2 linked regions of the Arabidopsis thaliana genome follow. The protein of the gene in region 1 interacts with the protein of each later gene in a biochemical or structural test. Each region holds a gene or a part of one and is shown in the gene's direction. Other genes may lie near its edges.

Region 1 (3,927 bases):
AGCTGGGCTCGATTGTTTCGGGCTCATAAGGGGATATTATTATTATTTAATCAATTTCTGCAAAATATTTACCAACATAACTTAAAACAAATTCTAACAATTAGGATGACAACAAATCTACCATTTTTTTCGTGGTTTACCATTTGTTTAATTTACGAAGTAGTTGTGAAAATAAACTTGAAAGGAAATATTGTGTCGTATAAGTTATAACTCATTTTTGAATGGTGAATTTGATAAATATTTTTAGACACATGTTTATTATATTATCAAACTGCTGACAAGAAATATATTAATATGAATGAGCATTGACCATTGGACATAAATCCAAACGAAGAGTTCTTAAAACATACGCTATGATATCAGATGACGGTAATAACAAATTAATACATACGCTAAAATTTACAGAAAATACAAGATTTTTTCACTTTCTCTATTTTTTAACGAAATATTTGTCGACTTCTGAGGTAATCGATGTTAGCCTTGAGTTTTGTAATTTGTATAAAAAATGTACTCCAATCACAATAATTTTGGTGTATAATAAATCCAATTAAACTAAACAAATGCATGTTGTTGGACTTACTTTAAGTCGGTTCAATATTTTGTAAAATACCATAGAATATTGAAGGTGGATTCTATTCCCCATTTACATTTATTTATTTTCCTTCTATTTTCGACATACTTTAAAATTATATTATTACCCATTTGTTCGGCTTTATGGACAATTATTGGTGTAAATGACCATATATTTCCTAATGTCTGCTGATACAAACAAACGGTAACTTCTAAACTTTCAATTTGTTTAATTTATTACATCAAGGTTTATCTTTCAAAATAAATTTAAAGAAAAACTGCTTCTTACCTATTTGATAAGTTGATAGTAATGTTTGTGTTAAATCTCCTCATAGACGTCGCTTTACCTATTAATTACCACTATAATTTAATTTCATAATTGGATTTAGTGTCACCCTAATTTTAGTACGAGAGATCTCTAAAGAAAAAAGTGAAAACACAATCACAGAAAATTATTACAATTTTTAACAAGATTCTAGTATAAAACATATTGATTTCAACGTAAAGAAAATTTAATCACAAAGAAAAAAAACAATAACTTTGTAATATTGTATCTCCGTGTGATTGCTTTACACATGGATTTATTTAATTAATTAACAGATAAAACATATTAATTCCAACTTCTTCTTTCTTTCTTTTTTGGACAAAAATTTCAACTTTTTTTATAATATAACTTTTGTGTCGAAAATATATACTTTTCCTGAAAAAGAGTGATAACTAATTAAAAAAAAAATGTTTAGAAGTACAAAAGAAAAGTATTGTTTCCAAATTCGAGAAAAAGCTGTAATCACGCCCTTGTGTTTAATTCTCAATAAATCACATTTAAAAGCGATTTTTTTAACGGCCCAGATATTGTCACGTAGGATAACGTACTCCGTATATTCTCCATTTCCGAACCATCCGACCAGGTCGCATCATATGTTGTGAAAAAATCGTTATGGAAGAAACTCTGTTTTAGTTAGATCCAATAATATTAAGCCACGTGGAATTGATGAATCCAATCTTCTTTATAAACTCCGTTTTCGGAATTTTGATTTTGTTTAAAATGTCTTACAAATTTATATAAGGAAACGGCAAAAGAGCCCAAAAAGTAACAAAAGACAAAACAATTAAAGGAAAAAAGAAAGAGTCAAAAGAACTCGAACTATCATATAATAAGAAAAGAAAAAGACATAGGACAAAATAAAATATATTCATATTCACAAAACACAAAACAAAATTGTTAATCAAATAGTATAAGACTAAAAATGCCTGATTAGGGGAAGGTAGTTGTTGTTGAATAGTGACTAGAACGAGTTAAATGGTTTGAGATCTCCAAGTTTACATTTCAACATCTCAGATTTTAATCCAACGGTTCTCAATCCTTCTACTACGTAAAAACACCACCGTCCCCGTTCCGTTCCGTTCTGTTCTCTCTGTCACTTTTGTCTCTTCTAAGTTTTTAACACTTACCTTGTCGTCTCTGTTCTTCTTCTTCTCTCATTCCTTTCGTTTATCGTTTTCTTCTTCCAATTTTGGATCTCTCTTCCTTTTGATCTGATTCGTTACTTGCTCTATGTTGCTTCAATTTTGAATTCTTTTGATTTTTGATTGTGTGGGGGAGATGGGGCAATGTTACGGGAAGGTTAATCAGAGTAAGCAAAATGGTGAAGAAGAAGCTAACACGACTACTTATGTTGTTTCCGGCGACGGGAATCAGATTCAGCCTCTAACTCCGGTTAATTACGGTCGAGCTAAGAACACTCCAGCTAGGTCATCGAATCCGAGTCCTTGGCCTAGTCCTTTCCCTCACGGATCAGCGAGCCCTCTTCCTTCTGGTGTTTCTCCTTCTCCGGCCAGAACTTCCACTCCGAGGAGGTTTTTCCGACGGCCTTTCCCGCCGCCTTCTCCAGCCAAACACATTAAGGCTTCTTTGATCAAACGTCTTGGAGTGAAGCCTAAGGAAGGTCCGATCCCTGAGGAGAGAGGAACTGAGCCGGAGCAGTCGCTTGATAAGAGCTTTGGTTATGGCAAGAATTTTGGTGCTAAGTACGAATTGGGGAAAGAAGTGGGTCGAGGGCATTTTGGTCATACTTGTTCTGGCCGTGGTAAGAAGGGAGATATTAAGGATCATCCTATTGCTGTCAAGATCATCTCCAAGGCTAAGGTTTTAAATTCTCAATCTTTTGAACATCTAGTTTTTGATTTTGGGATTGCTTGCATTGGTGTTGAATTTTAGCTTATATTGTGATTTGTTTGTTGCTGATGCTGCTACAAGAATCTGTGGAGGGTTTTGAAATGTGGAACGAGTAATGCTTACATTTTCTCGTAGTTGAGGTAGTGAAAGTAAGATTCTTGGGTTTGGATAATGGCTGTGGGACAGTGAATTGTCTTTTTCTTCCAGCTGAGTCTCTTGAGACAAACAATGTTGTCTCTTTTGATAGGTAAATTTTTTGTTTGGCAGTGAGTTGAGTAGACAAAAATGTGAACTTTTTGTTGATTTGTCAGCATTAGGACAAGGATAGTCATCAAAGAATGAGTTTCATGTACTAATGTTTATGAGCTTTTCTTCTGCAAACATTTGTTTGTTCGAAGCTTGTAATCACAGTTAGGTTACGTTTTGATTACTTAGCTGTTGATTTTGTAAGAATGTTATGGTGTTACATGTGATATTTGTTGTCTGTTTCATCCTTTTTTGAAAAGATGATTCATGAAAAACGTAACTAGAGAAGTCTTTGTCTGGCTGCGTCCTGGGGAGACCATAATCTGACATTCCTTTTGTCTGCATTAGGACACAATGTTTTATGTATGGGCTTCACTTTTGAAAGCTCATGATTTTGGCTTATCTTTGTAATGAAGCTGGTCTGACACATTTTGGTGACAGTTGTGCTATCCTTCTCTCTAATAGAACAAGCAAAAAGGATTTGTTGACTGAATTATCTTTCTGTACTTGGCAGATGACAACAGCAATTGCAATTGAAGATGTTCGCAGGGAGGTGAAGTTACTGAAATCATTATCTGGACACAAATATTTAATCAAATATTATGATGCATGTGAGGACGCCAATAACGTATACATAGTCATGGAGTATGTCTTGTTTCCATTTTTTTTTATCAGATATTTGATGTTCTCTCTTCCTCAGGATTTTGGCTGTTACTTAAATGTTGTAACACAGAACATCACTTCTGAACTGCATTTCTTTGAACATATCTCTGTAATCAGACACACCTTGTAAACCAGTTACTTAAATCGATGTTTGGTTCTGCTTGACCAGGTTGTGTGATGGTGGAGAACTTTTGGACAGAATTTTAGCAAGGTATGTCTGATTACTCTTTTAGGTGTTTCTCTGCATATGCCTCAAGTTAAATGCTGAGAAT
Region 2 (3,927 bases), 6.5 Mb from region 1:
TATCTTATCATTGTACCCTGTTCGGTTGATAGCTTCTTTTACAAGCTCCAAACCTTCCTTGAGGCTGCATACAGTTGCAATTACACATATTAGGCACTAAGCCATCAAACCATAACATGGTTTTCTCAGTTTCGACAATCTACAGATGCAAGCAGATTAGCATCAGAGAGGAAAAATATATGTACCTCGAGATATCTGGAGCAAGACCACCATCTTCACCAACATTACATCCCAAACCACCATTCTTTTCTGAAATGACAGCCTGCCATAAACAGCAATAGATCATTCTCACCTTATACACAAATTTACGGATGCAATTAGAAAGGTAACTTCTAGAAAGCCATATATCTTTGAAAATTGACCTTTAAATGATGATATGTCTCAGATCCCCATTGCAGGGCCTCCTCAAATCTACTTGCTCCAATTGGGAGAATCATAATTTCCTAAACAAATTATGAAAACACAACAATCATTACATATGTAAATGAAATTACTTGAAAACCAAAAGATTTCTTGAAGAACTTTGAGAAACAGAAACGTTAATAGTGAACTTAATGTAGAATACCTGAATGGCAAAAGTATTCGAAGCATGCTTCCCACCACTCAAAACAGTGAACGCAGGTACAGGTAACACCATGTTTGCTCTGCCACTAAGATCAGAAAGATGCTTGCACAAAGGGACCTGATAATAACTTCAATCAAAATCTCCTAACTAAAGTAGGCATAAAATACATAGGATAAGAGAAAATGTTATCATTCATACCTCTTTCTCAGCAGCTCCAGCCTTGCATGCCGCAATTGACACAGCAAGTATAGCATTAGCACCAAGTTCACTCTGCAAGATATTCAAATCAAATTAATCATGAGGAGCAATGATATATGAACTTGTTACAATCCTAATAAAAGTTCCCACCTACCTTCTTTTCAGTTTTATCCAAATCTATCATAGCCTGATCTATCTGACCCTGAAGTTTTGGGTCCATACCAATCAACGCCTCAGAAATTTTTTCATTTATGTTCTTAACAGCTTTAGCCACACTGTTTCCAAGATACATTCCTTTGTCTCCATCACGTAGCTCAATAGCTTCATACCTTGAGAATCAGTAAACCAATCTCCTCATGTCAGGCTTATCATATTAGAGAATTGTATATCAATCAGAGTAAGAATAATTCTCACGTTCCAGAAGAATCACCACTGGGAACAGAAGCACGAAAAACGCCTTTGTTCGTGTGCAGATCAACTTCAACTGTTGGAATTCCTCTGCTGTCAAGGATCTGTCGTGCTTTAACCTTCGTTATCACAGATGATACAGCTTTCTTCAGATGATTAGCCTGCACTTTTCCAATTGAAGATTCAATGAGTAATGTAACATAATTTCACTTCGATACATGTAAATCAAAATTCGAAGGAAACTTACGATGAAGAGAACGGGATCTGAGGTTTTAGCCCTTACGGCGGCATTAACGGCGTCTTCGATTTTCCGAGAAAGCATATGCTTGTCTAAATACTCTTGCACAGACATCTTCTTCTTCTTCCTCTTCCACGGACTTCTCGATTCGAATCTTCAAGCAAAATTTCGATGAACAAGTTTGAATCTGAAATTCATTTTCCGATTGACTGTATTTTTTGGTTCACGCTCCGGTTCAGGCTCCGGTTCAGGATCCAATAAGCATATTCAATCATTAAAACGATGAGTTTCACTTTACAAACACATGCTTGCCGTCTGAGGATTTTGCTAGTGCACATCACTCCGTTTTAAGTCATGCAGATTTGAAATGAAAAGAGTAAAAGCCCATTTTAGGCCCAATAAGAAGTCTCTCACGTGCGATTGCCAGGTTGGAACCGCTTTTTTATCTCTCATAAAGCACGTGCGAGTGCGACGATGTTTTAGTAACTGCTCTCCTTAATGGAATCCAGCTGTCATTCACACGAACATATTTTTTTACGAAATTCAAAAAAACTTTTTATCACGAGCCATTAATTTTTGAATTTTGCCACCCGTTGCCACCTCGATTTACGTGGCATTATCTAAACCGTCGATTCGATTTCGAATTACCAAATATTAGCCGTTAAAACCTCCTTTTCTTTATAAATGGACCCTCCTCTTCTTCTCTCTCTCATAAAACAAAAGATCCTCTCTGCTTCTCCTTTCCCTTTTTCAAAATCTCTCTCTCTCTCTCTCTTTTTAGATCCAGTTTTAGGGTTTTCTTCTCTGTGAGCGAAGATGCGTGAGATTCTTCATATTCAAGGAGGTCAATGCGGAAACCAAATCGGTTCCAAGTTTTGGGAAGTGGTTAATCTCGAGCACGGGATTGATCAGACGGGACGGTATGTAGGAGATTCCGAGTTACAGCTTGAGAGGGTTAATGTATACTACAACGAGGCGAGTTGTGGAAGGTACGTTCCTCGCGCTGTTCTCATGGATTTGGAGCCTGGAACCATGGACAGTGTCAGATCTGGTCCGTACGGTCAGATCTTTCGACCGGATAACTTCGTCTTCGGTCAGTCCGGTGCTGGGAATAACTGGGCTAAAGGTCACTACACTGAAGGTGCTGAGCTTATTGATTCGGTCCTTGATGTTGTTCGCAAAGAGGCTGAGAACTGTGACTGCCTTCAAGGTATTTGAAATCCGTCTTCCTTATTTAGGTTTTTGTCTATTTAGGTTTTTGGATCTGTAAATTTAGGTTGGGTATTGGTAGTGTATGATTGTTTTTAGGTTTAGATTTCTGATTTTGAACTGTGGAATACGGATTCGGTTTTGTATTCGTTGTTTGCTTATGGTTTTGGTTGTTTGGATTTACAGGATTTCAGGTGTGCCATTCCTTGGGAGGAGGAACTGGTTCTGGAATGGGAACTTTGTTGATATCTAAGATCAGGGAGGAGTACCCAGACCGTATGATGATGACTTTCTCTGTGTTCCCATCGCCTAAGGTGTCTGACACTGTTGTGGAGCCTTACAACGCAACACTATCTGTGCACCAGCTTGTTGAGAACGCTGATGAGTGTATGGTTCTTGACAACGAAGCTTTGTATGACATTTGCTTCCGTACACTCAAGCTTAGCACTCCAAGTTGTAAGTATTCCAATGTTCTTCGATTATGAGTCAATGTTGTTACTGTATCTGTCTCTGTGGTTTATTGTTTCAGGCTTAGTTATTGATTAGTATTGAAACTTCACTCACATATTTTTTTGTTTGTTTTCTGAATTGTGCAGTTGGTGATCTGAACCACTTGATCTCTGCAACCATGTCTGGTGTAACCTGCTGTCTTAGGTTCCCTGGTCAACTGAACTCTGATCTGCGAAAGCTAGCTGTGAATCTGATCCCATTCCCTCGTCTCCACTTCTTCATGGTGGGATTTGCTCCTCTCACCTCTCGTGGATCTCAGCAGTACCGTAACCTCACTGTCCCAGAGCTCACTCAGCAAATGTGGGATGCTAAGAACATGATGTGTGCTGCTGACCCAAGACACGGTCGCTACCTCACTGCTTCAGCCATGTTCCGTGGAAAGATGAGCACCAAGGAGGTCGATGAACAGATGCTGAACGTACAGAACAAGAACTCCTCCTACTTTGTGGAATGGATCCCTAACAACGTCAAATCAACCGTCTGTGACATTCCCCCTACTGGTCTGAAGATGGCTTCAACGTTCATTGGTAACTCAACTTCGATCCAAGAGATGTTCAGGCGTGTCAGTGAGCAATTCACTGCTATGTTCAGGAGAAAGGCTTTCTTGCATTGGTACACAGGTGAAGGTATGGATGAGATGGAGTTCACTGAAGCTGAAAGCAACATGAACGATCTTGTCTCTGAGTATCAGCAGTATCAAGATGCAACGGCTGATGAAGAAGGAGAATATGAAGAGGAAGAAGCTGAGTACGAGCAAGAAGAAACTTATTGAAGAAACAGATGATAAGAACACCTCAAC

What was found.
Region 2: of the proteins of CRK3 (region 1) and TUB7, one has a biochemical effect on the other in vitro, tested with the Arabidopsis thaliana proteins (one study listed by BioGRID).

Annotation. Positions count from the first base shown.
Region 1 is NC_003071.7:19,184,677-19,188,603, reverse strand, and holds the start of CRK3 (CDPK-related kinase 3), read left to right. Parts: upstream 1-1,791; 5' UTR 1,792-2,173; coding exon 2,174-2,716; exon of another isoform or gene 2,717-2,993; intron 2,994-3,506; coding exon 3,507-3,637; intron 3,638-3,824; coding exon 3,825-3,866; intron 3,867-3,927. UniProt on the Arabidopsis thaliana protein: May play a role in signal transduction pathways that involve calcium as a second messenger. Serine/threonine kinase that phosphorylates histone H3 an GLN1-1.
Region 2 is NC_003071.7:12,644,231-12,648,157, reverse strand, and holds the start of TUB7 (tubulin beta-7 chain), read left to right. Parts: upstream 1-2,100; 5' UTR 2,101-2,225; coding exon 2,226-2,619; intron 2,620-2,804; coding exon 2,805-3,074; intron 3,075-3,214; coding exon 3,215-3,900; 3' UTR 3,901-3,927. Other genes in the region: ENOC (cytosolic enolase), read right to left, coding at 1-64, 186-262, 363-443, 566-682, 764-835, 918-1,092, 1,178-1,332, 1,419-1,523. UniProt on the Arabidopsis thaliana protein: Tubulin is the major constituent of microtubules, a cylinder consisting of laterally associated linear protofilaments composed of alpha- and beta-tubulin heterodimers.